Xenopus tropicalis: one gene and its partners. The protein of the gene in region 7 interacts with the protein of the main gene of each other region in a pairwise test. Links are inferred from orthologs where the notes say so. Each region holds a gene or a part of one and is shown on either strand. Other genes may lie near its edges.

What was found.
Region 1: the proteins of spg21 (region 7) and E3 ubiquitin-protein ligase DTX3L interact in binary tests that used the Homo sapiens proteins (3 or more experiments, as listed by UniProt). The two-hybrid records come from large-scale screens. The link is inferred for Xenopus tropicalis from reciprocal best matches to the Homo sapiens genes SPG21 and DTX3L.
Region 2: the proteins of spg21 (region 7) and prps1 interact in binary tests that used the Homo sapiens proteins (3 or more experiments, as listed by UniProt). The two-hybrid records come from large-scale screens. The link is inferred for Xenopus tropicalis from reciprocal best matches to the Homo sapiens genes SPG21 and PRPS1.
Region 3: the proteins of spg21 (region 7) and fam114a1 interact in binary tests that used the Homo sapiens proteins (3 or more experiments, as listed by UniProt). The two-hybrid records come from large-scale screens. The link is inferred for Xenopus tropicalis from reciprocal best matches to the Homo sapiens genes SPG21 and FAM114A1.
Region 4: the proteins of spg21 (region 7) and ctps2 interact in binary tests that used the Homo sapiens proteins (3 or more experiments, as listed by UniProt). The two-hybrid records come from large-scale screens. The link is inferred for Xenopus tropicalis from reciprocal best matches to the Homo sapiens genes SPG21 and CTPS2.
Region 5: the proteins of spg21 (region 7) and rtn4 interact in a two-hybrid assay, tested with the Homo sapiens proteins (2 studies listed by BioGRID and IntAct). The two-hybrid records come from large-scale screens. The link is inferred for Xenopus tropicalis from reciprocal best matches to the Homo sapiens genes SPG21 and RTN4.
Region 6: the proteins of spg21 (region 7) and reep6 interact in binary tests that used the Homo sapiens proteins (3 or more experiments, as listed by UniProt). The two-hybrid records come from large-scale screens. The link is inferred for Xenopus tropicalis from reciprocal best matches to the Homo sapiens genes SPG21 and REEP6.

The regions. Positions count from the first base shown.
Region 1 is NC_030685.2:90,211,651-90,215,724, forward strand, and holds the start of E3 ubiquitin-protein ligase DTX3L, read right to left. Parts: upstream 2,801-4,074; 5' UTR 2,708-2,800; coding exon 2,662-2,707; intron 1-2,661.
Region 2 is NC_030684.2:37,498,142-37,502,270, reverse strand, and holds the start of prps1 (ribose-phosphate pyrophosphokinase 1), read right to left. Parts: upstream 2,801-4,129; 5' UTR 2,754-2,800; coding exon 2,632-2,753; intron 1-2,631. UniProt on the Homo sapiens protein: Catalyzes the synthesis of phosphoribosylpyrophosphate (PRPP) that is essential for nucleotide synthesis.
Region 3 is NC_030677.2:35,808,031-35,812,091, reverse strand, and holds the start of fam114a1 (protein NOXP20), read right to left. Parts: upstream 2,801-4,061; 5' UTR 2,701-2,800; intron 1-2,700. UniProt on the Homo sapiens protein: May play a role in neuronal cell development.
Region 4 is NC_030678.2:30,311,505-30,315,559, reverse strand, and holds the start of ctps2 (CTP synthase 2), read left to right. Parts: upstream 1-1,255; 5' UTR 1,256-1,395; intron 1,396-1,430; exon of another isoform or gene 1,431-1,597; intron 1,598-3,310; 5' UTR 3,311-3,409; coding exon 3,410-3,429; intron 3,430-4,055. UniProt on the Homo sapiens protein: Catalyzes the ATP-dependent amination of UTP to CTP with either L-glutamine or ammonia as the source of nitrogen. Constitutes the rate-limiting enzyme in the synthesis of cytosine nucleotides.
Region 5 is NC_030681.2:24,246,774-24,250,273, reverse strand, and holds part of rtn4 (reticulon-4), read left to right. Parts: coding exon 1-112; intron 113-3,500. UniProt on the Homo sapiens protein: Required to induce the formation and stabilization of endoplasmic reticulum (ER) tubules. They regulate membrane morphogenesis in the ER by promoting tubular ER production.
Region 6 is NC_030677.2:99,404,692-99,408,650, forward strand, and holds the start of reep6 (receptor expression-enhancing protein 6), read left to right. Parts: upstream 1-1,159; 5' UTR 1,160-1,193; coding exon 1,194-1,308; intron 1,309-2,316; coding exon 2,317-2,410; intron 2,411-2,802; coding exon 2,803-2,941; intron 2,942-3,703; coding exon 3,704-3,872; intron 3,873-3,959. UniProt on the Homo sapiens protein: Required for correct function and survival of retinal photoreceptors. Required for retinal development.
Region 7 is NC_030679.2:116,213,708-116,217,207, forward strand, and holds part of spg21 (maspardin), read right to left. Parts: intron 2,774-3,500; 5' UTR 2,748-2,773; coding exon 2,685-2,747; intron 1,632-2,684; coding exon 1,470-1,631; intron 732-1,469; coding exon 651-731; intron 323-650; coding exon 177-322; intron 1-176. UniProt on the Homo sapiens protein: May play a role as a negative regulatory factor in CD4-dependent T-cell activation.

The DNA of each region.
Region 1 (4,074 bases), on a different chromosome or scaffold from region 7:
TAATAAAACAGTACCTGTACTTGATCCCAACTAAGATATAATTACCCCTTATTGGGGGCAGAACAGCCCTATTGGGTTTATTTAATGGTTAAAATGATTCCCTTTTCTCTGTAATAATAAAAAACAGTACTGTACTTGAATTCCCAACTAAGATATAATTACCCTTATTGGGGCAGAACAGCCCTAATTGGGTTTATTTAATGGTTAAATGATTCCCTTTTCTCTGTAAAAATAAACAGTACCTGTACTTGATCCCAACTAAGATATAATTACCCCTTATTGGGCAGAACAGCCCTATTGGGTTTATTTCAATGGTTAAATGATTCCCTTTTCTCTGTAATAATAAAACAGTACCTGTACTTGATCCCAACTAAGATATAATTACCCCTTATTGGGGCAGAACAGCCCTATTGGGTTTATTTAATGGTTAAATGATTCCCTTTCTTCTGTAATAATAAAACAGTAACTGTACTTGATCCCAACTAGATATAATTACCCTTATTGGGGCAGAACAGCCCTATTGGGTTTATTTCATGGTTAAATGATTCCCTTTTCTCTGTATAATAAAACAGTTACCTGTACTTGATCCCAACTAAGATATAATTACCCCTTTATTGGGGCAGAACAGCCCTATTGGGTTTATTTCATGTTTAATGATTCCCTTTTCTCTGTATAATTAAAACAGTACCTGTACTTGTCCAACTAAGATATAATTACCTCCTTATTGGGGCAGAACAGCCCTATTGGGTTTATTTACATGGTTAAATGAATTCCCTTTTCTCTGTAATAATAAAACAGTACCTGTACTTGATCCAAACTAAGATATAATTTACCCCTTATTGGGCAGAACAGTCCTATTGGGTTTATTTAATGTTAAATGATTCCCTTTTCTCTGTAATAATAAAACAGTACCTGTACTTGATCCCAATAAGATATAATTACCCCCTTATTGGGGCAGAACAGCCCTATTGGGTTTATTTAATGATAAAATAATTTTTAGTAGAACTAAGGTATGGGGAATCCAAATTACAGAAGAATCCCTTAACTGGCCCTGAGCATTCTGGATAACAGGTCCCATAGTTGTGTCAGCTGCTCAGCAGGACATTGTAACAAAGGTTCCCATTGGTGCTGAGCTGGGGGTACTGACTGTGGGTTCTGGCTGGGGGCACTGGCCGTGGGTACTGGCTGGGGGCACTGGCCGTGGGTACTGGCGGGGGCACTGGCCGTGGGTACTTGGCTGGGGGCACTGGCCGTGGGTACTGGCTAGGGGGCACTGGCCGGGGGTACTGCCGGGGGCAAGTGGTCCGGGGGTACGGGCGGGGGCACTGGCCCGTGGGCAAATGGCTGGGGGCACTGGCTGGGGGTACTGGCTGGGGGGCACTGCTTGGGGGGCACTGGCTGGGGGGTACTGGCTGGGGGGCAACTGGCTGTGGGGGCCTGGCTGGGGGTACTGGCTGGGGGCACTGGCTGGGGGGCACTGGCTGGGGGCACTGGCCTGGGGGTACTGGCTGGGGGCACTGGCTTGGGGGTACTGGCTGGGGGTAGCTGGCTGGGGGGCACTGCTGGGGGTACTGGCTGGGGGCCTGGCTTGGGGGTACTGGCTGGGGGGCACGGCCTGGGGGTACTGGCTGGGGGGCACTATGGCTGGGGGACTGCTGGGGGCCTGGCTGGGGGCATCTGGCTTTGGGGGGCACTGGCTGGGGGTACTGGCTGGGGTACTTGGCTGGGGGCACTGGCTGGGGGTACGTGGCTTGGGGGTACTTGGCTTGGGGGCACTGGCTGGGGGTACTGGCTGGGGGTACTGGCCCGGGGGTCTGGCTGGGGGGGCACTGGCTGGGGGCACGGCTGGGGGCACTGGCTGGGGTACTGGCCGTGGGTACTGGCTGGGGGGGCACTGGCTGGGGGTACTGGCCCGTGGTACTTGGCTGGGGGCACTGGCTGGGGGCACTGGCTGGGGTACTGGCCGTGGGTACTGGCTTGGGGCACTGGCTGGGGTACTGGCCGTGGGTAACTGGCTGGGGGGCCACTGGCCTGGGGCGTATGGCCGTGGGTACTGGCTGGGGGCACTTGGCTGGGGGCACTGGCCTGGTGGGTACTGGCCGTGGGTACTGGCCGGGGCACTGGCCGGGGGTACTGGGCCGTGGGTACTGGCCGGGGGCACTGGCTGGGGGTACTGCCGTGGGTACTGGCTGGGGGGCACTGGCTGGGGGTACTGGCCGTGGGTACTTGGCTGGGGGGCACTGGCTGGGGGTACTGGCCGTGGGTACTGGCTGGGGGGCAACTGGCTGGGGGTACTGGCCGTGGGTTACTGGCTGGGGGGCACTGGCTGGGGGTACTGGCCGTGGGTATGGCTGGGGGGCACTGGCTGGGGCACTGGCCGTGGGTACTGGCTTGGGGGGGGCACTGGCTGGGGGCACTGGCCTGGGGGAACTGGCTGGGGGCAACTGGCCGTGGGTACTGGCTGGGGGGCACTTGGCTGGGGGCACTGGCTGGGGGTACTGGCTTGGGCGGCACTGGCTGTGGGGCACTGGCCTGGGGGTACTGGCTGGGGGCCTGGCTGGGGGCACTGGCTGGGGGCACTTGGCTGGGGGCACTGGCCGTGGTACTGGCTGGGGGGCACTGGCTGGGGGCACTGCTTGGGGGTAGGGGCAGGATACTCACCCCACATGTTGCGGAAGGACACCCGGTAAATCCCGGTCCCGGACATTACACTCGCCCCCCCCTGGATCCCCCTTGGACTGGAAGTATTTCTTCTAAGCCCCTCCGCACCTTGGCAGGGTCCGGGGGGGAGGGGAGGGGGGGGAGAGAGACCAAGGAGGGGAACCCCCGGCCCCCAGAACTCTCCGCTGCCTCCGCCATTGGACTTCGTCCTCGCACCACAAACCCCCGATAGTGAACAGTGGAGGCCCCCCAACACTGCGGTTCCCACTCCGGTCCGTTCCTGAGCCCCGCTTCCCGTGCCTGTCCTTCCCGGGGCCCCGATCCTTTCACTTCGCTTCTTCTCCCGGCCCCCTCCCCTCCCCGCCCGGCCCGCCCCGCCCGCCCCTCCCCGCCCCTCCCCGCCCCTCCCTGTGAGGCGGAAACCGAAAGTGAAGGCAGAGTTTCCCCGGAGCCGCCGCGCCCCTCACTCGAGAATATGCCCCCCAGGGTAAGTTGCACCCACTCAGTACGAGGGCCCCGGGGTACAGAGCGTCACGCTGGTAGCTCCCAGCTGGGTCTGATGGAACCCAGCTCAGCATCTGCCCCCCCTTCTGGGGCTATTACCCCCCCTCCCCCAATACACACCCGGCGGTAGGGAGGCGGGGGGCCGCAAACTCTGATCCCCCAAAATATAAACTGGTCTCCCCCCCCCCCCAGCTTACTGTTGACAGGCACTCTCCTACTACTGTCCCGTATCCCCCCCCCCCCCATAATAATCAGCACCCCAACTTACTGCCCCAGGTACAGAAACACTGATCCCCAGGGCAATTTAATTTGACCCAAACCAGCCGACACTGGCCAAAGCCCTCTGAGAGTAGCCCATAAATACCCCCCTAGAATACCCCATAAAATACCTCCCATATGCACAGTGAATAACATTCTAAAATTATAAGGTATATGGGAAACCCTTGGCCCCCCCCCTTAATTATTGTATAAATCACGCCCCCCAGCCCATGTGCCCCCCCCAAATTACTGGGGTGTTTCCCCCTGTGCCCCCCGTTACGGGTTGTTTCCCCCTGTGCCCCCAGTTAACTGGGTGTTTCCGCTCTGTGCCCCCCAGTTACTGGGGTGTTTCCCCCTGCGCCCCCAGATACTGGGGGTGTTTCCCTGCGCACCCCTCAGTTTACTGGGGGTGTTTCCCTCTCTGCCCCCCAGTTACTGGAAGTGGTTTCCCTCGTCTGCCCCCCATGTTAACTGGGGTTGTTTCCCTCTCGTGCCCCAGTTACATGGAGTGTTCCCTCTCTGCCCTCCCAGTTACTGGGTGTTTCCCCCTGTGCCCCCCCCAGTTACTGGAGGTTTCCCTCCTGTGCCCCCCCAGTTACCTGGGGTGTTTCCCTCTGTGCCCCCCAGTTACTGGAGTGTTTCCCTCTGTGC
Region 2 (4,129 bases), on a different chromosome or scaffold from region 7:
CGGTGTGGGAGCCGCTGCCTTGCTCTTGGCAGTTAGACCCCTTCTCTCCCAAGTATTAACAAACACTGTATAGAACCTGCAAAATATAATAGGCCTACGTACAAGACCAAAAGTGTTTAATTGGTACGCTTATCTAAATAAGAGAAATGGATGTGCAAATTTGCTGTGTATCATTTATGTATGTTCTGAATGCTTCTTGCTATGCTATGCTATTAGGAAGTACATATCTGTAATGACCAAAACCTAATTTATTTTATATAAAAAATACAAAAAAATGATAAACTTTTATAAATGAATGCAAGAAAATTTCTCTGGGACTATCCGCTTGCCTAACAAATACTTTGTTCAAAAAACAAACAAAACATTTCTTCCATATTTAGAGGCGTATTATGCACTGGCACTTTTATAAATACAATATGTACTCTTTAAAAGGTTTACTATCATTCTTTATCCAGAATTTACAAAACGTTAAAGATTAAGGATTTTAATCCTGTAGTCCAGGGATTATCAACCTTTTATACCCATGAGCCACATTTAAAGAAAGGGGAGCAACACAAGCAAAACAAAAAGGTTCCAGGGGGTGCCAATAAGAGCTATAATTGGCTACTTAATAGCCCCTATGTGAACAGGCAGCCTACAGAAGGCTCTGCTTGTCGGTACACCTGGCCTTTATGCAACCAAAACTTGCCTCCTTACAAGAAATTCAAAAATAAGCACCTGCCTTGAGGCCACTGGGAGCAACATCCAAGGGCAGAGATCCCCAACCTTCCTTATTGTGAGATACAGTCAAATGTAAAAAGACTTGGGGAGCAACACAAGCATCATAAAAGTTCATGGAGGTGCCAAATAAGGGCTAAGATTGGCTATTATGGGCCTCTATAGACACTATCAGCTTACAGGGGGATTTATTTGGTAGTAAATCTTGTTTTTATTCAACCAAAACTTGCCTCCAAGTCAGGAATTCAAAAATAACTACCTAGTTTGGGGCACTGAGAGCAACATCCAAGGGGTTGGTGAGCAACATGTTGCCCCTGAGCCCCTGGTTGGGGATCACTGATGTAGTCCCATCAAAACAATGGTGTTTGACCTATTTATCTTCCTGTGTAAATACTACTGTATTACAACTTATTACCTATGTAAGGGCTCTGGCACATGGGGAGATTAGTTGCCCGCGACAAATCTCCCTGTTCGCGGGCGACTAATCTCCCCGAGTTGCCATCACCTGCCATCCCACCGGCGAACGTGTAAGTCGCCAGTGGGATGGCACACACGGCGGCGCAATCTTGGCAAATCGCCGAAGTTGCCTTGTGAGCCTTTTCCGGCGACTAATCTCCCCGTGTGCCAGAGCCCTAAATGTAGGCCTTATAGCACAACTTCACCTTGAGTAGCTGCCCCCATGGCTACACTGTAGTCTAAATAAACAGCAGAAGGCCCAGACTGGCAATCTCTAGATTCTGGCAAATGCCAGAGGGGTTGCTGTAATATGTCATACACAGTGACTATTGGGCCTGTAGGTGGCTGTTTGGGCCTCTGTATAATTGAAATAACTGGGCCTATTGTGAATCTCAGACCGGACACAAAGTGCTAATTGCACACAAGGTGTTTTGGAGCATTTTGTAGTTCTGGGGGGCAGATTACAAAGCCCTTCAAATTACCCCTTTATTAACTTTGTATTTACAGTGCCCCAACAATTCCTGGTGCAGGCAATTACTGCTTGATAACACAGTGCCTAAAGAAATATACCTCTGCAAATCACCCCACTTGCCCACACCGTACGCTCTTGTACGATTAGAGCTTTTGCTAAGAAAAGACTAATTTTTACTGATTGTACCCCAAATATACGAACACCCAAAGTCTGTGTTTTGTAAGAATAAGCATCAGGCGCTTAAGGAGGAAACGCTCAGGCAGCGCATGTATTTCAGCCCCAGGCTGGAATATGCCCATCAGTAACCCATGTGTCACCCATGTGTATTAATAACTTCCCAGGCAGATCAATGCGGCTTCCAATGTTTGTGTATGTGCCTCTTTAAACACAGAAGTTATTTTTAAACATTCAGTTTCCCTTTAAAGGCCTCCTGCCCTCACACAAGGGGGTGGGGGTATTTGCACATCTCCTACCCAGGTTTAACATATACCTAACTCTGGAGCTTCCAAATAAGCAAACAAGCCAGAGTCGCCACAGAACGAAATCAGCCATACTGCACATCCCAGAGTTGGGTTTGAATTATTTAATATAAATAAAATACGCTTCACAGCCCCCTGTCCTTGAATATGAATAGTCTGTACACTAACTGCGCAACAAGTATCACCATTACCCCATTTTGTAATTGGCCGCTTATCACTTAATGTCGCTTCCCACATGGCTGTCCATAACCTAACCCACGTGGTTATATTGCCCTCCGCTTCACAGAAGAGCCGGGTGGGGCATGTCGGGAAGTGTAGTCCCAAGCCTCCCCTACTGCCACAAACTGCAACTGCTTGGAAACTACAAATCCCAGAACCCCGTTCGACTATACTTCTGGCGCCCGATGATAAGTCACGGATAGAATGTAGCAATGCCGGCAGAATAAGGGGGGGGACTTGCAATATTTACTTCTATTTGCCCCTGTTCCTTCCGGCAGTGGCCCTTACCACGTCTCCTGGTTGCTGAACTTCTTAGTGACAACGCGGCCCAACTCAAGCCCGAGCCGGTCTGCGATCTTTTGAGACAAATCTTGATGGGAGCTGCCGCTGAAAATCTTGATGTTGGGCATCGTTTCCCTGTGGTGTTGGGAGACGCGTCAGTCAGTCAGGCGGCTGAGGGGCCAGGGGACAGAGCGCAGGGTGTTTTGTTAGTTAACGGAGAGCGAGTCCCCTCCTTCCTGCCCGTGATGGCTCTTGGTCCAATAGGGGAGCATCTTGACCACGCCCCTCAGGTTGCGTCACCATTACTAAGGGACGGAGAGCGCTTGGTTTTGGGATTGGCGCGGTTCTCATAGTAGCAGAGGCTGGGGGTATAGGCGTGAGGGATGCTTGCTCGGTTTGGTTGAACCGATAGCATGGGTGTCATTATCATTGGCTTCCTGTTAGTGAGCACGATAATCAGCTCTCCAGGGAGATGCGCAACGTAATGGCTCCTGTAATGCCGCGTCTTTAGTTTAGGGAGGGGAATATATTGCACAGAGGCTGAGAGACTGCTCGCCGATAGCAGCGCTCGTCCTCCACAATCCAAAAAAGATTAAGTCTAAGGCGGCTAAACACTAATATATTGGCGACGTTTTTTATTTTTAGCGACCAAATGCTCAATTGCTGTATCATATATGTAAGCGCCCTGCCATAGCTGTAATGGGCTTAGGGACCCGGCCCCACATGGGCGCAACTATAAAGATACTGGGAAGCCAAGTGTAGGTGTGGGTGCAACTGGTTGGGAAAGGGGGTGCAGCAGGCAGGGAACCAATACATATTTCTATTGCTCTGCTTCACAAAATAAATACATTTATCATGGCAGTATCCTTTAGAACGTCTTCAAATTCCTGGAAATTGTCATAAACAGACCCAAAAGAGGTGTCTGTAATAGAATTATTATTAGAGCAATTGGGTTTTCATCTTGGCTTACTGCAAGAGGCATAGTTGGGATGTTATAAAAGCTAGAATTTCCTTTCTGTGGCCGAGCTCTTGGAAAGCCAAGTAACCCATAACAAGGCCTCACATTAACACATAATGAATATTTTCTGTAGCGACTGTCTTGATGTTGTAAGTGGTTGTATACACACCCCAGGGAACCTTCCTTTTACAAGGATTTTTACTGCCAGTAGTTACTTGTCAGGTGCTGACCGAATTATTTCATAAAAATAAAAGTATTTTTAGTTTTTGGTGTAACATGCACTTCAACTCATCCTGTATTAGCTGTGTGAATTATTCACAGTAACATGTTTTCATGTTGTAGAAAGGCCACCGTCCAGTTATTCTGTAACATGAGTGATAGGGGATCAGAGAGAAGGAATAATCCACATTTATTTCCGTTCTCCAGTTATCTTTGAAGGGGGAAAGTACCTTCAGTATGGGCAATGGGGTCAGTCCCTAGATCACAAAGATTGTATTACTGTTAATAATGTATTTATAAATCAGCATATTGTGCAATGCAGTAAAT
Region 3 (4,061 bases), on a different chromosome or scaffold from region 7:
CCTCATTCCTCAGTTCTTTGTCCTGCCTCGGAGGTGAAGGACTGATTCTATATTCACATATTTTTATTTTCTTTTCTTTTCCTTCCTTTTTTCTTTATTTTTTATTATTGTCGATCAAAAAGAGGATATCACAAGGCACGGCTGTCTTACTGGATTCAATTCCAGGACTAGACCAGCTTACTACAAGGGGGACTCAGAAGATCCACAGGAGGATCTCTAAAGCACTAGGGTACGCAGAGCTGCCCACAAAGTGCGGATTACTGTGCAGTGTTGGGGACACTGGACACGCAGAGCTGTCCCTGAAGTGTCACCCCTCCCCCCCCAGCACACGGGAGAGCAAAGAAGGAAGGAACACCTTCCTTATCAACAAGCGACTGAGGACACAAACTTGTGTCTCCAGGTTCTAACACAACACGGCTGGCTGATCAATCACCGAAAAACTTCCCTCACGCCAAGTCAGACGATCCTATTCCTGGGCCTCATTTTCGACTCCAGGGCACAGAGGGTAATAATCCTACCCCAAGACAAGATCGAACACATTAGTCACGACAACTCAGGCCTTCTGGGTCAGGAAAAGGAACTTGGCAGAGGACTGCCTACGCCTTCTGGGCCTCATGGTATCAACCCTGGAGGCCATACCCTTCACCAGATTTCACCTCAGACCTCTACAGTGAAATTTCCTGCAGCATTGGAACAGGAACCACCAAGATCTACAGCAGGAGATACCTATCTCGCAGACGACCAAGGACAGCCTTCTCTGGTGGGTGAGAGATGACAATCTTCGACAGGGAAGGAGCTGGGCAAACACCACCTGAGAGGTAGTGACCACAAACGCCAGCCTCAGGGGCTGGGGGGCAGTACACAAAAACCTTAGACTCCAGGGGACATGGTCCAAGGAGGAGAGTCACTTACCCATCAACGTGTTAGAGCTTCGAGCAATTGCCCTAGAACTGGAGAACTGGTCAACAATTCTACAATCTCGGTCAATCCGAGTACAGCCTGACAATGCAACTGCAGTAGCATATATCAACAAACAAGGGGGCACTCACAGCAAACTAGCCATGCAGGAGGCCTCCAGAATAGTGACCTGGGCGGAACAGATGGTACCGAACATCTCAGCAGTATACATACCAGGGGTACTGAATTGGGAAGCGGACTACCTGAGCAGAACAACCATCGACCAGGGAGAATGGTCCCTCAACAAGGATGTATTCCAATAACTAACTCACAGGTGGGGGACCCCTGAGATAGATATGTTGGCATCAAAACACAATGCAAAGCTTCCACTCTATTGCGCCAGAACAAGGGACCCAGGAGCAGCGCTGGTGGATGTGCTGGTGGTACCATGGAACTTCAGCATGGTATACGCGTTTCCACCACTAGCCATCTTACCCAGAGTAATCAGGAGACTGAAGCAATCCAACACAGTCACAATACTGATAGCCCCAGACTGGCCGAACAGAGTATGGTATACAGTTGTTGTCAAATTATCGATTGCCACACCTTGGAGATTACCTCTACTACCCGATCTGTAAACTCAAGGGCCAATAAAACATCCCAACCTGAGGATGCTTCGCCTAACTGCGTGGCTCTTGAAACCGATTGGTGGCGTCAACAGGGATTTTCACAGATCGCCATAGACATCTTCTTACAAGCCCGCAAGCAATCTACCACTAGGGTATACCATAGGGTCTGGAGGACTTTCTTAACCTGGTGCAGGAAAAGGGCCACGCCTTGGAGAGATATCTCCACAGTTGAGGTGGTGGAATTTCTAACGGACGGCTTCCAAAAGGGATTGGGCTTACGCACTCTAAAAACACAAGCTTAGGCGATTACAGCGCTGACACACTTCAAGTGGGCCGAAGATCCTATGGTCCAACAGTTCATCAGAGGGGTAACCAGAGTACGACCCCCCGCTAAGGGAACCCCTTGCAACATGGAGCTTACCATTAGTCCTAGCCGCACTCCAACAATCACCCTTTGAACCCCTGTCGATGTGTGAGCTTAAGTGGCTCTCATTTAAAGTCACTTTCTTAATAACGATCACATCAGCAAAACGGGTATCCGAGATGGCGGCACTGTCCTGCAGGGAACCACGACAAGGCGGTCCTTAGAACCACACCAATATTTTTACCAAAGGTGGTGACCGAACGCCACATGAACCAAGACATCATACTGCCTTCCTTCTGCCCGAGCCCATCCAACGAGAAGGAAAAACTACTCCATAAGCTGGATGTTGTCCAGGCTATCCGCATTTACCTAAAGAGATCGGCTGACTACAGACAGTCTGATAGTCTCCTGATATCATATGCAACGGCATACAGAGGAAAAGCCGTATCTAAAAGAACTATAGCTCGTTGGCTAGTTGAGACTATTAATATGGCTTATGATCGCAGAAACATGCCCAGACCATACTCAGTGAAAGCCCACTCTACACTGGCACTGCAGAACATGGCAACCGCAGACCAGATCTGCCGAGCAGCCACTTGGGTTTCACCAAACACCTTCATCAAGTTCTACAAGTTAAATGTTTATGCCTCACAGCCGGCCACGTTTGGTCGGAAAGTCCTACAGGCTGTTTTGGCATAGTGCCAATAAAACTGAAGTTTTACCCACCCAACTAGAGGGACAGCTTTGGGACATCCCCTAATGTCTGCACTGACAGGAGGGCTGCTAGAGAAAAGCAGATTTTGTACTCACCGGAAAATCCTTTTTTAGTAGGCCCGAACTGTCAGTGCAGTAAGTCCCACCCAGGCTGATTTAGTATGGGCACCGGGACCTCTTTCTCGCTATCTTTCTACCTTATGTCTCTTAGCCTTCCTTCTATCTGTACTGTCTCCACCGACCGAGCTTACCAACAGAACTGAGGAATGAGGGTGGAGACGAGCCTTATATACAGTGGGAGGGACCAGGAGTACCAAGTTTCAATTCTCTGTCCTGCCTCCAGAGGTGATTCAAGACAAAACCCCTAACTTCTAACAGTTCGGGCCTATGAGAAAAGGATTTTCCGGTGAGTACAAAATCTCTTTTTTGAAGACAATCAAAAAGTATATGTTTTAATAAAAAATAAACAGAAAGTTAGTGTTACACATTTTTCAAAGTCCTTACCTAAACATTAAATAATTTTTTCATACATCCTATTATCTAGAATGTCCTTCAACTTATTTCTAAACATTATAGAAAACTGATTTTATACTTGATCCCAGTCTTTTACAACAACAAGAGAAAAAGAAGGTATATAATGAGATTCTCACTGTCATTTAACTCTCTGAACTCCCTGTCTACAAGTACATCTATCGTAAATTAGAAGATGGAGGTTCTCATTATCACTCTTTAATGATACTCATTCCAGGGGGTGTGTAAAATACAATTTGCCTTTTTGAATTTGAAAACTTTTTTTAATTAAAAGATTAGGCAGAATGCATTTTTACTACAACTTATATTTATTTGACTCTATATTGCTAAATTAACTATCTACTTTAAACAGCCAGAAAGAAGTGTCAACATATAGTATATGAGCCCTTCTGCCACCCTAGCTTTGCATTCCTTGTTGAAAATACAAACTCAGAAAAATCTGAAAAGAAAAATGAATGCTCAGATGAAAAGATTACTGGTAAACTCAGAAATGTAGCTGCAAATGAAAAGCAGAACTGAACCTTTGAGGCCAGTTAGGTGGCAGACAAGACATAACTGGAAATGTTTTTCTTCTTCCTAATTGCATTCTCTTAGATTAGAACCAACCACAAACTTTTACACTGCTAATTTTAACAGCTTTCAATGAAGAAAGACTGTTTTGTGTGACCTGTGAGAACTGGACTGTATTGTAATAACTTACTTACGATATTTTAATTATGACATTTACTGTTATCAACTGAATGATGAACTGTAAGGCACCCCAAGAATGCATGTTTGTGTTGCTCTCCAAATTTATTTTACATTTGAATATGGCTCACAGATTAAAAAGTTTGGGGACCCCTGGTCTAAGGTAAGCGATTATAATCAATGGGGGTGCCTAATTTTTATCTTGCAGTAATCTTGCTGTGTTTTTCTCAAAGTCGTTT
Region 4 (4,055 bases), on a different chromosome or scaffold from region 7:
TCCTATCCCTTATTACCCCTTCCAGAAGCTTTCCTACTACTGATGTCAGCAGCAGTGCCCCCATAAGTCAGTGTGCCCCATGGCCCCCCCTAATACATTGGTGCCCAGCAGCATTTTACTTCTGCTCTTCGGCGGCTTCTCCGGTGGCTTCAGCAGCATCTTCGTATCCCTCAGGCGCGACGCCTCTGCACTTCTGCCTACACGCGACCGCACACAGGCCCTTTTATAAGGTTGCGCCCCGTGCGTACTGACGTCACCCGTACACGTGGGGCGCAACCAATGACAGGGCCCGGATTTTATTAAAGGGGGCCCGAGCTACTAAGAAAAACTGTAGCATCGCCGGGCCCCCTTTGAAAGTAAAAATTGCGGCCCTGCCTACGGCACACCAGTCAATTAGTGTGCCGCGGAACAGCGGTTGAAAAACGCTGTGTTATAGAATGGCCTATTATTAGCAACTCTTCAGTTGGTCTTCATTTTTTATTTTTGAATTATTTGCCTTTCTCTTCTGACTCTTTCCAGCTTTCAGACGGGGGTCACTGACGCCGGCACCTAAATACCTATTGCTATTACTTTTAATTACATATCTTTCTATTTAGGCCCTCCTCTGTTCATATTCCTGTCTGTCTTTTAAATCACTCCCTGGTTACTAGGTTAAATTGGGCCCTAGCAACAAGATAGCTCTAGAAATTCCACAATGGAGAGCAGTTAAACAAAAAGTGAAATAATTAAAAAATGTTTAAAAATATAAAATGAAGACCAATTGCAATTTGTCTTTAAATATCATTCTCTACATGATACTAAAAGTTTCCAGATTGTGGAGGCACTCCCCGGGTCTCCCATTCCCCAGCAGCATTCTCCCGATTTTAACAAAACCTCCCAAAGTTCTGGAGTTGAATTCCGGCCGTACATGTGCAGTAAGCATTTGGTGACATTATTTGATCAATTTTTTAGCTTCAGCAATGATTTTACATCGCTTCGGGTCCCACACCTGACAGTACAGGAGTTTTATTGTAAATGGCAATAACAGTGAGGAATATTAGTAAATAAGTATATTTCATTGACTATAATTCTAACATTGCACTTGTAGTAACATAGTCATTAACTAGATTAGTAATAATGTGTAAGTCAGACAGTAGGCCAATGGGCACAGCCAATCACTGAACAGGGAACCCAGCTCCTCTCTCATAGGCATTTTGTCACTTTGCGCCTCTCTGTGGTTTCAATAAAGTATTTGGTTAAAAAAAAAAGTTTCCCTTTGCTTTGCTGTGGAACGGGCGCCCTCTAGTGGCAGCTGCTGAGCATTACAAGATTTTTGCTGTAAACGTGCGTCCTGTGGCCTTGACAAAACTTGACAGAACGGGGGAGGGAAGAGCCGTGACGGGTCCCGGTGCGCAGGTAACGGGGAGTCAGTGTGGAGTTGGGAAAGGGCCGGGGCGCTGCCAGTCCGGGTTGTGCTGCATTCGCTGCCTTATAACAAAGTTGGCACAGGGGGGATGAAGGGCGGGGCAGTGTGTGTCATGCACCTGGGAAAGCCCTGCCGGTACCGGGCACTAATGGGTCACATGACTCGGGACATGGGGTGCTAGCGGGGTTACCGGTAGGTATGGGGCAGGTACCTATGGTATGTGGGGGCTCTGTGTATGGGAATGGCAGGGATGTAGGGGTGCATGTGTCCTGATCCCTACAGCCCTTCATTCTATCCGGCCTGCAGCCCAGCAGCTGTTGTACTTCAACTCCCAGCATCCCCTGAGAGCCTTCAGTAGTCCCATCTCTAGCAATTGAGCAGGAGTTGTTTGCTAGTTAGTAAGTGCCTTTCCTGCAGTGAGGCGGGTATGTGTGTGTATAGGGGGTGGGAATGGCACAAGTACTGACAGTAACAGTTGTTGGTTGGATTGTACTGTGTGTATTGTAAGGTGGGGGCTTTAGGCCTGTGTCTCCCCCAGGCCCATGTTTGTTGCCATTTATTGGAATCCCCCCGGGGGCAGAGGGGAGACGCAGGGACTGAGGGACTGGGAGGAGGGAAAGGGAAAAGTTTATTTCTGAACCTGATATCCATGGCAATAAGGCAGCCCCCCATTAATCAGTTTGCTGTTTTGCCCTGCTTGTACAGTCAGGCCCCCCCCCCCCCATTTTATGAATGTTTTTCCCATAATGAAGAGCTTTCTGGATAAGGAATCCCATACCTGTGTGTGAGATAGAGGCTAGTAACCCTGCTAAGAAAGTAGCATGTTTATTTAGAGAACTTAAAGTTACAAACTATTCTGGTTTCTGCATTCTCTTTCATATAAAAACCAATTCACAAACTCTTCGCATACGATAAGCACCATGTTTATTGCACCTATTGGTTGTGGGGGAGCGGCCCAGATGACTAAGTCCCTTATGCAGTGAGGGTTAAACCCAGCAATAAACGGAAGAGCCGACCACTAGAAGTCACTTTGACATCTCTAACACTCCTGGTGCCATAGTGCCCAAAGGCAGGGCATGTTGGGTTTCTTCTACAGAAGCAAAGCAAGTACTTGTATGTTTCACTAATACAGCGCTGACTGCGTTAGTCAGCAATTTATTAGTAAGGGGTGGATGGGGAGAGCTCTTTTGCTCCCTACCTGCCCATTGAGAAGTGCAAGGTACAGAGCGTAAGGAGGCACCGCTCCAATTGGGCCTCACCTGTACGTCTGCCCTAAGGAAGCCGGTAAGGACATGGCTGCACTACTCCTCCTGTTGCTGCTTTCTTCTCTGAGCACCAGATTTTCCATCGAGCGTCCAGGGCAGAGAGCAGCAACCCCAGGGGCAAAAGTGCTCTGTAAGTGAGCCCTAAGGGGTGCGCTTGGTTTGTAAATGACTCCCTTTGCCTTTAGGAAACACTATGTATTTTCATCCCTGTAGTTCTTTTAGGAAGAACCAGTTTGATCAAAATGCCTGTGGGACCTGTATCGAGTCACTGGCCTTTTCATTACTGCTAAACTTCTAATCTGCCATAGCCCTAAAGGAATACTCTGTCCCTCGTCTCTTACTTGCGCACAAACCGTTTGGGGTATATAGGAAGCTGCCAACAGAGACTCTTGACACTACTTGTGCATTAAGGGGCCTGTAACACCAAGAAAATGGGAAAAAAAAGGCTTCATAATCTTCTTCTTATTAAAGTACCTGTACAGTATTTTAAATAATGATTTGAGAGCTCTGTATGTGAAACCTGTTCCACAGCGGCACAATGGCAATATCAGCCAATTAAAGAATTTGGATCCTGAGTGTCACAGTGGCACTTAGTTGGTGACTAATGTAATAGGGCCCCCGTGTCCATATTTCATCCCAGGCCCCTGATTTTGTTGAGTTGGCCCCCGCAGCAGCGACGTGAGCAGCCAGCGTGGCACTGAGTGTAAGGGAGAGAGGTGGCAGTGAGCGGCAGGAGGAGATGGTAGTGAGTATAAGCAGGTGAGTAGAGATGCCCTCGCACACATTTTCTCCAGCTGGATATATTGCATTTCAAGGGTTAAAATGCTGGTTAGTGCATTACATGCAGGAAAGGATTTGGGCCCTGCTGCCCCCTATTGTTGGAATATTTCCTGTATGTTTTGTACAGGCCTGCATTAAATACTCCTGAATCCACTTTTGTTTTTATTCTCCTGTATATATTTTCAGCTGGGTCGAAAGTACATTTTACCTGGGTTCCCAGCATCACAGGGACCCTTTGAGGGGTGGGGCTTAAATAAAGGTACAAAAAAGTCACGATTTTACTATACATCTCACTTGCTTCCCAGTTTCTTAATATCCTATGTGTGCGGTTCCTAAGCACTTCCTCACCATTCCCCCATGTGTAAATTTCCTGCCTCTCCAACTCTTTCCCTCTGCCTCTCCCCTCTATTACACATCACTAACCTCTTTAGTATCTTTACAAATGGTAAATGGTGATGTCACCAGTTATAATCAGAGTTTAGTGATGTCACTTGTTTCTCAAGACTGATCTTTGTGTATCACAAGTAAAAAAACACCTTTCTATAATAATTATTATGTAGTTATAAGTTACCAAATGGTAAATATTATATTATATATATATATTG
Region 5 (3,500 bases), on a different chromosome or scaffold from region 7:
TGAGCGTGCTTGCATACATTGCCTTGGCCCTGCTGTCAGTCTCCATCAGCTTTAGGATATACAGAGGGGTTCTACAGGCCATCCAGAAGTCTGATGAAGGGCACCCATTCAGGTATGAGTTCTTTCATGTATTATTGCTTAGAAATGTCAATAAAAGGCATTTGACCATTTCCCCTTCCAGCGTTTTACAATCCATATTACTGCCAAGAAGTTTACACCATGCCAGAGATGTAGAGTCTGTATTACTGGGTCCCATTGATATAAATGGAAATAGCTACGTAAAGGAAGTTCTATCTTTTTGTTACACTGTAAATGAAGAAATTAATTTAACCCCTACATAGTGAAAGCATTGCTTCTGATGATAAAACCCAAGAAGGAATGTTTTAGTGTTGCCTTTACACTGTGACATGACTCGGGTTACAGAGGAAGATCCCAATGCTGGTGAGGAGCACTGTAAGTGAATAAAGCCTATAGAAGTCTCTTCTCAAGGTCACACACACACTCCCAGTAGCTTTAATAACTTGACCCCTCTATGGTCCTCAGCTAAAATATCCAACAGGAGGTTATTTCAGTCTTCTGTTATTCCCCCACCCCCCTTCCAGAGTGCCATGTCCTGCCATGGAGTTGACTTGAAATTCTATATGTTTCTGCTCTTCTATTTTAACATCCCCAATATTGCAGATAGCATAGTTATGGGGAATTACATCATAAGCTGGAGCAAGAGATAAGCAATGATTGGATCTGCCTGATTTTGCCCAGAGTATCTGCAGACAAATCGGGCAAAGATAATGTTCGTTTGGTGACCTCGCCAAGGTATTTAGGTGTGTGGTTAGTTTTTTGGTAATCATAAAATGATAGGAATGGCACTTGCTTATATTGTTTAGGCTCATTGCCCTTTATTTCAAGCCGCAATTTGACTCCCTTCGTTAGGAAGAGAGCTTAGAAACCCCACACATGACTTGGTCTGGTGTCCAGAATCCAGGTACGGAGATTGCAAAAGGAGGTGAGGGGTCCCACAAGCCCCTCTTGGCTTGGCCTGCTGGAGGCCACTTGCTCTGGCGTAGCTCTCAGATTTCATTACATGACAGACACGTCAGCATTGGTTCTTCTGCTCACTTCTGACTTGCATATTGTACACTTGTCATCATAAATCCTGGCCAGGCTCATTTTACTAAGTGCTATGTATTTTTGGAAACACATTCTCCTAACAACGGGAACTACATAATGAGGGGTAACTTGCAAGGGATATAATGATTATTATCGTTTTAACTTTAGCGTTTTTTGGTTCTAGTTTCTGCCAAAAAAAAGTCCGTTGTACATTTGATGATAGCAGAAGCATTATAAATTGTTTAAAGCTGCCTCTTTTTTTCATTGCTACAATAGCTGCCATGTTGCCTGTGATAACTTAGCTACAGCTCTCTGTCCATTGGTTTTTGTTGTGTCAGCCCTCAGCTTATGTTACTTTATATCACAGTTGAGATTCATATTTTAGTTTCAACCCATGAAGGAATTTAGAGGCCATGTTTGTGAGGCCATGTTTGTCCCTTAAGCACCTTAGAGGCACAGAGGGCAGTTCTCAGAATTTTGCTGCCTGTGTGATTCCAGGCTTAGTGGGTGGGCACCAAAGCCCCGGTTAATTGCCCCTCCATTGACTAGAATTGTAATTGCTTGGACCCTGCTGGTTCCCTTGTGGGTTGAACTCGGAATCTTGTGGGCAACTCAAGGATGAAAAACTGTGTGTGCCATTGCCCTAAGGATTCTGCCCCCTGGGCAGTTTGCCATTAGCAGGGGGGGTCTAAGTCTAAGTTTGCAGTTGCCGCCATAGAGCTTTAACTGGGCTATTGACCTCCAGTACCAGTGCCCAGAGCACCCCATGTGCCTTATCCCTTCCACTCTCGTAGCCAAATCAGTAGTGATGAGCGATAGATTTCACTTATTGACTTACAATTCCAGTGCCTTCAAGGGTAACTAATCCTGTGCCTGTGTGTTCCTGCCATAAAGTTAAATGGCTGTTTTTATAGAAAAATTCTGGTGAGGGCTGCTTATCCATATGGCACCATAAAAATGTAAATGTTATGGCCGGTATGGCAGTGCCCTCCTGTGTGAGATAAGGCTGAGTAGAGAAACATATAGATTTGGCAAAATAATCCTAAACAAAGTTAATGTCATTCTGACTTGTGAGTAATAAATTTCCCCTTAATAGACAACCAATGAGGGCTCCTACAGATGCTCCCCGGGCCAGTGTCAGGGTGGGACCAGTTAAGGGAGGGCTAAATGATTATTTGGGAGCCCAGAGCCAGTCGCGTGAGGGCAGCCATACTGCCAAGTTATCACAGCCACATTACATTAAGTTTTCCAGTGTTTACAGGGCCCCCAGTAGAACATCTTGCCCAGTGTGTGACTTGGACACTATGGGACTTTGTGCTATTTCTGTCCCCATTGCCCAATGCTCTATTTCCTTGTAAATCATTAGTACATGTTCCTACTCCCAAGGTTCCCAGTCTGTGCCCGCACCGCCTTTATAGACACCTGCCTTGCTCTTCCCACAGAGGGGCCATTGGGCAAGTGCTACACTGGCACTGAGTGCAGATTATAACAGGCTGATTGGCGTAGGCTCAGCTCAGCAACCCTTTATTGGCATTAATTGGTTTCTAAATAGTACAGCACAAACCTATGACTTATATTTTTACCATTTTAAAAAGTGAATTAGATGCTTATTAAAGTAGATGTCCACTTTCTTATCAAGTCCCTGATCCCTAAATGAGTATTTTAACAATAGGGTCTTGTTTCGTTTACATTTTATAATAAAATGAATGATGTTATGATGATTGAATCCTGCACTGTCCCCATGGAGAAGGGGGTTGCTGGACCGCACCTCCACTAATTTCCTGCAGAGATGGGCAGCGGGTACCAGCGAGGAGCCGGAACTGTGCCAGTACTGCACATGGCTGCCTAAACTATCCGATCACATTGAAGAGATGCAGGCCATTGTGTGCATCAATAAGCCTACTCGCCCCACGGCGATTTTTAATACTGCCAGATTAACATCTTGCTGATTTTTCTGTCAAATATCTGTCCGCGGGCCCCATACACAGCCTGACAAGCTGCCGATTTAGATCAGCTTTTATTGGCCTGTGTATGGCCACCATAAGTGCTTAGTTTAGAAACTCTGATGTAGCCATAAGGCCTGTGTTTTTGTGCGTGGGGATCCTCCTGTTAGGGTGGTCTCCATTCTGTAACCCAGGGAGCAGTGACAGATTGCACTTTGTCTGATGCCATTTTCTGCAAAATCGTGGGCAAAACTCCTTTTGTGCCGTTTACATCAGACTGGGTGTCAGTCTGGCATCAGCCAGCTGCTAGTGGGCATAACGGTATTGGATTATACCGGCCATATTATGTAACTAGAACCTCTTATCCTGTAACTTATGGGGTTCTGAGTATTTGATCCGACAGACTCTTGGAACAGAGTGTCGCTGCCCGATCCCATTCCCAGTGCATGA
Region 6 (3,959 bases), on a different chromosome or scaffold from region 7:
GTTCACAGTTTAAGGCTGATGCCAGACGTGGTGTTTTTACGCTGCGTATTTTCTCCGCCTAAAAACGCCGCACAAGCCACACAGCCCCTGACTATGGCATTTTTCAGCCTAGTACTGGTGACGTAGCAAATCCTGGTTCCCATGGAGCTAATAGTGCAAAATAGTAAAAAACGCTGCGTATTTCCGCTAGGTCTGGAAGCTGCCTTTGTGTATACATAGGAATAAGTTGCTGTGCAAATAACGGCGTATTTCGGCAAACGCATGAGAAGTCGTATTTATGTATTTGCGTATTTACACATAGTGTGTTTTCTATGGATGATGATATTGTGCGTTTTTCAGCCGCTGAGTGAATTAGAATTTACAGTGTAAAAACGCCACATCTGGCATCAGCCTTATACTGCTAGGCAGATTTCAGCTCAACGGTTATTAAAGGCCTATAGTGTCAGAAACTCTGTCTATTATCTTTACACTGCCTGAAGTCATTTAACCCTTGGCTTGCTGACTCCCAGTTGATCTGAATGCAGGTGGCAAAAAGCTGCCTCTGCTAACTTTAGAAGCTTTCATTTTTTAAAACAGATGCCACAAATTTGGCACTGCCTAATGCAAATATATCAAAAGCCTCTAAAAATAAAAAAAATGAATGTAAATTGCAAAAGCGCTTGGGAAACAACGCTACATCAGTTTATTTTGGGGTTTAGTCCCCCTTTAACAGTTACTTTGGAACTATTTTGGAAGGCAGCAGGAAATGATTATATATGAAGTGATGTTAAAAGCAAAAGTATTAATACCCAAATAATCATTTAAATGGTTATTACTTATACCACCACTAACTGACTATGCTTACTGGATTCACACAATCCCGGAAACACGATTTGTTTCAGAGCTTCGGGTTACCCAAATTATGGAAAAAAAAGACCAGAAAAATAATAATAGGTTTACGTTGAAGTCCTGCACATAAAGGCACGTTAACCTCACCTAAATTCACAGAGATACAGCTAAACGCTAACACTCTCACAGCACTTGTTCCCTGAACCGCCTTCACCTGCTCGAAGAGGACACGCCCTTCGATGTGATTGGGTTTTGAACATGTGACACTTCCCCCCCCCCCTGCAGTCCAGCCGGTGCGCCCGCATACGGCTCAGACCCTGTAGATTATCTGTTTGTCCCCAGTACCTGGACCTTGCTCCATAGCCATGCCTTCTATCAAGGAGCGCCTCCAGAACTTTCTGAATGGAGACAACTTCGTATCCCGGTTATTGGGGAAGGCTGAGGAGAAAACTGGGATCAAAAAGTATTATCTTGCTTCGGGTGAGCTAGCTATTATTCGGGGCTATGACAGGAGTTCTGTATCTGCTAACAGGTGGACGTGTAATTAGACGGCATGCTCAGGACAGGGTTAAAAGGGGCTTCCGTCTCAGTGTTCCTGTATTTGTATAGAGAGTTGTTTAAATGACAACTACCCTTCTAGCTTGTGATTTAAACGTGATCATTCAGTGCGACGAAGAAGGAGTAGATAGTTCCACTGTGATTGCGTGTGGCATCGTGTATATGGCTACATTCAATACAAAAAAGTAAGAGGGGTTGCTAATAAGTGGGGCACTAAGCCATTGAATAGAACGTGTGAGGCTGCTGGAGCCAGACAGGGGGATTATGTCGCTGCATTAGCTTTACGTCCCAGACCACGTTCTGCAGGAATCCATGCTGAGAAGCCGAGGTCAAGTTGCAAGATTTCAGTAGCCTCACATGTGGCCCCTATTTATGACTGCTGCACATTGTATTTTATGTTGGTGAAAAATAATACCACATTCCATCTGCTTGGGTACTAGTCGTTCTTGTATAATCGTTATGGTTAATAAGTGATCTGCTTTGGGTGCTGTTACAGCCACATCTACATATCTGGCCTGTCATGTGCCTTATCATTTTCTTATGCTGTCTGTGAATAAGAGTATCCTAATGTGAAGGTCACAGCATGCCACCCATTGGCCACCTTTTAAGACACTGATATAAAGAGCAACATTTCCCTTCCTTACTCTAGGGAGCTCACTAAATATGTAAATGTATATAGATTGTAAGCTCTATGGGGCAGGGACCTCCATCCGCTTGTGTCTTTGACTCTTAACTTATTGCAACTGTAACTGTATCTTGTATATATTTGTATTTATTGTTATACTTTGTATTTATCTATTATCTTAGTAACCCCCTGTTTGTATTAATGTATTCTACTGTACAGCGCTGCGTACATAAGTAGTGTTTTATAAATAAAGATATACATACAAATGTTCATTCTTTTTTTTATTACAATGCTTTTCTTCCTAGGTTCCATCTGCTCCCTAGGGCTGTACCTTATATTTGGCTATGGGGCTTCTCTTGTCTGCAATCTGATTGGCTTTGTGTACCCAGCCTATGTTTCGTAAGTATCCGGATTTATTCCTCAGCAGTGAATGAGATTAGAGTGTCTTCTGGATGGGGGAAGGAAAAGTAGATTAAAGTGTTTGTACCTGTTGGAGAATGTTTCTCCTGTTAAGAGGCAGATTTATCAATGTGTGAGATTAGAGTTTACCACAGAAAAAATGACATACTTTCTATTCATTCCCACGGGATTTTTAAAAGTGTATTTATCAAATGGCAAGCTTTAATTTTCTCCCGTTTATAAAAACACTTGGGAATGAATAGAAAGTGGGTGAATTTTTCTGTGGTGAGCTGTAATCTCACACCTAGGTAAATCTGCTCCTTAGTGTTTTGACACTTTGTTGCTAATACTATACTAATGTAAAATCTACAATTTCTCATTTTGTCTTGTAGGGTTAAAGCTATTGAAAGCCCAGATAAAAAAGATGACACAATATGGCTGACATACTGGGTGGTATATGGCGTGTTCAGTGTAGTGGAATTTTTCTCTGACATATTTCTCTTCTGGTTTCCATTTTACTACCTGGGCAAGGTCAGTAGTTAAGGGACAGGTGAAAGTGCTAAAAATATTCATTTTGAGTTTGTCATTTGCCAAAAGAAAGGTGAGAATGCTTTAAAAAATTTGCTTGAACTTTTCCCCTTCTCTGATTTATAATTTTTACATCTAATCCTGCAATCCTGTAATCCTGTGGGATCACAGATCTGGTATGTTTGAAAGTTTCATCTTGGTGAGTTATAACCTGGAATATATGTCCAGGTAGTTGGTCAGTAAGGGGAAAAAGCAGACACATTGCCGGACCAGTTTTTGACATGTTTGGCTAGCTATAGCTTCTCTTAAGAAAGAGAATGTTTTTAAGTATTGAACAGTCACCTCAAATCACATGCTAGTAATTCATATATTAATCTATAAAGCTTCTGCATTTATTTAGAGCCTATCTCACCTCTGTGTATTGGTGAACTGCTCTGAGAGCCTTTTTTTTTTATTGAAATTCAGTGTTTTATAATGAATACTTCATTATGCTGGCACAGTCCAGTCTTGCTTTTGAGGGGTGTAAATAATTGAAATAATAATAACCTATTATGATAATAGTTGATAATGCCAACAACAGTATGACTTTATCTTGCATTTAGATGCAAGATCTGTATTCAGAAATTTAGAATCCCAGTTAGGTTTTATTGCATCAAATGCTAATTACAAGACTGAAATTTATTTTTACATTGTTTACCATAGATATTGATCAAGTCTGCCTTACTTGCTTCCTTCTAATCAGTGTGTCAATGGGTTTCTCTACAGTGTTGCTTCTTACTTTGGTGTATGGCTCCATTTTCATGGAATGGCTCTCAGATTCTATATGACCGGTTCATCCGCCCATTTTTCCTGAAGCACCATCGAACGGTGGACAGCGTTGTTAGTGACCTTGGAGGACAGGCTCTAAACACAGCTGAATCTGTCACTAGAGGAGGTACACATTCTGGTTGCTATATTTATTTCCCTTTTGACATCCTAGGCACCTTAAATTCACATTCTCTCTTCTTGTATTAATGCTACA
Region 7 (3,500 bases):
CTACAAGTTATACAAAAAAAGTCAACCTCCATTTTATAATTGTATAGGTTTCCTTCTGGCAGCTACTGACACTAAAAATATTCTTATGCAGGGATAGGATGATGCCTTTGGTTGTGTAAGGGTTACTGTTTTATGCAGAATTGAAACACAAAGCAGTAAAGTGATAAATGCACTACCTATTTGCTGTCCAAGTCTGGTTAAAAATGGAGGTATCGCTGAATGAATTACAGAGTATAAGGGACTGGACTCGGGGAGATTTGTGAGTGTACTCGGCAAACTTCTGCGCTAGGAATCCCCCAAGAGATGCTCCAAATAGATGAACCTGCAAGCAACAGATAAAACAAGTGAGCAGATATGAGCATGCACTTGCCTGGCATTAGTGGGACATATTCTAATATATATTTAAAGGCACAGAATTGCCTGATGCCATCATACTGTTTAATGGCAAGGGTCTTCCTCACATTAATGCATCAAACTGACTACAAGACAAAATCAGAACAAAGAACTTTGTTAAAATACTAATTACATTATATAATAATTGAATATGTAATGCATGTGTACATTAACAAAGTACAACGTAAAAGTTTAGAGAGTATAATAGGTCACCGGTTATAATAAATGCCTACTAAATGTTATCCAGAATATCTTACCTTATCCAAGTGCAAATCATCCAGTAGTTTCCTGAATCCATCGCAAAACTCTAAATGGTCCCAATAAACAGGGTACTGGAGCTGAAAAGAGCAACACTAGTTACATAACTGCAATTACTTTCATACAATTCAAACAATACTGAGATTCTCCAGCTTCCAAGGACAGAGAAAGAAGTATGATGTGATTGTAACAGGGTAAACAACAATAAAAAGCACAATGTGGCAGTTCAAGTCAGCCTGTGGATAGAACATTATAGGATGGGTCTTATTGGAGAGCTGGCCCTCTGCTATCCCTTCTAGCACTAATATTCTGAATTCTAGAATTAACCTGGACAAAGAACAAACATATATTACACTGACTCTGGCTCGGCTTATGTTTTACATTGGGTTTTAGGCTGTTGCCATTTTCATGAAATGAATTATTTCTCTCCTGCAGTCTAATTTATTAGAATATTACCAGTGCAGTGGAGGTAGGCCATGGGTAAGTGGTACAGCCAGACAGGTACTCCAGCTTCAATTTGCCATAACCAGATATATGTTTTATGGCACAAGGCAAGTTCCCAAAACCATCCTCATCCAACAGAATATTCATCTTGTAACAGCATCTGTGGTGGAAAGTTAAGTCTCCAAGCTCTAAAGCTTACAGGATTGCTAAGCCTATTAACTATAACCCTAAGGGAGAGTTAAACCTCATGGTTTTAAGAAACTCATTTGACTGCAGATCACACTACTTCTGACACTTCAGTAACAAGGAAGCATAACTATATATTTAAAAAGTTTTTGTAGAGATGTATTTTAAGTCTCCGATTTCGTACTCACAGCGATAACTCTGTAGCCCCACCCTGTCAGTGCCAGGATCTGATGGAAGAAGACGTCCGCAGTGCCGCTAACTGGAGGCAGACATATAATGGGACAGCGCACACTGCGGGGGCCAGCATCATAGAGAGACCACACCTTGCTGTCGTCATCATCCACAATGATCTACAGAACAAGACAAAGCTCATAAATGAGCAACTTATTTACAGATTTGACTGAATTCTAAAACATATCAGCTACTGTCCACAATTATCCCACCATCTGTTTATATCTCTTTGTGTCTGGCAGCCAAAGAGTAATTCCAGACTCTTTCTTTTTCCACTCTGTGGTCTAAGTATAGAACACAGAGATAGAAGAACAAAACTAGAGGACAGTAACCCTCACTGTAGGAAAACACGTGCTTTTATATTTTGACTAATGCCTGATTGCTAAGGTAATTACAACTAAAGAACAGGCAGCAACGCCAAAAAACCCCTTGTAGAATGGATATCACTGTGGGCTGCGATCCAGGGTGGGGGATGTGTCTTGGGCGCACATCGCGTTTGGCCCGGCCCTGCCCAGACCCACTACCTAACACCACCTGAAAATAGGTAAGTTACCTTTCAACCAGGGACCCACAAACCCGGACGTGACATCACTGTATATCGGAGCCAGCGCAGAAGGGTAAGGGGGAAAAAAAAACTTGCCATATTGCATGGGGAGTTACGACTCCCGCAGCTTAGCCAGGTACCCAGCAGAGTTACCCATGACTTTCTGCCCAAAACCCAACCTCTCTGTGGGTATTTCACAGGTACCCGACCCTATGCAGGACTCTAATACAGGGCCAGTTTTAGTGCAGGGGAAGAGTGGAAATGTGGTTTTGGCTTCCAGTCTCAGAATGGGCTTGTGCCAAAGAAAACACAGTAGAAAACCCCAAACTACTGATCTTTCAGTGATGTCTAACCTGTGGATTCTACCTTTTGGAGAAAGCTGGGATTTGTGGTTTAACTAAAGAAAAAGTAAAAAATATATATATGATTTGCAAAGATTTTGTTCCATAGTTTTCCTGCATTGCCCCTGAGCTCCCTCACTCCAATCCTGGCAATATACTGCTGAACACATCCTTTATCCTACTTATCTGAGGAAAGTCAATACATTGCGCCATAGAATGTAAAGGACAAATTCCAGCAAAGCGGTATAATCCAGCCTGGTCTCTAGTGTCATCTGAATCCTACTTACCCTTTTTAGAGGAACTGTGCTGCGAAACCAGTTATAATCCGGAGAGATTTTGATGGCTCCCATTGTGCAGTGTGAGCAGGGAGACAGATCTGTAGGGAAGAAGCAGGCATGTGATGAGTCAGGCTCAAAATGCAGAAAGTACACTACCACACACACACACTCACACACACAAAGAGGTCTGTGTCTGCACTGTAATCAAGAAGCCTCTCTTCTTATCAGTCTTGCAAAGGTGTGCCTAATGACACATACTTCTCTGTGCTTGCTCAATATATTAACCTGTCATCGGAAACCCCTAAACTGGACAGAAAGACACTGTTTTAATAATTATTTTAAAATGAATATAGATGAGTGATTATTATTCCCATCGCAGAGGTTTCCAGTTATACTGGCACATTACTAACAAAGACAGTATCAATGTCAATGCCAAACTATGTGGCAGCATGGTGGCTTAGAGGGTAGCACTTCTGCACTTTTTCTTGCAACTCTGGGGGCCCTAATTTGATTCTAAACCTGGAAATGCAAGGAGTTTGCATCTTCACCTCTGTCTGTGTGGCTTTGTTCCATGTACTCTTCCTAAAATTGACTATACTGCATATAAGGACAAATAAGAAGCATTCCCTCTAGTGGGCCTCTGACTCTCTCACTGTTTACAAGTCTTACACTTCACGTTTCTGTTACATGTATGTACAGTATGATACTCTGATGAACGGAATGCAGACTGAATAGATATGTAGCATGTTTCCCCCTTGAATACTGCTAGACGAACATGCACGTTCATCAGAGCTTCACAAACCCTTGCCCAGGCAGAAGGCAGTG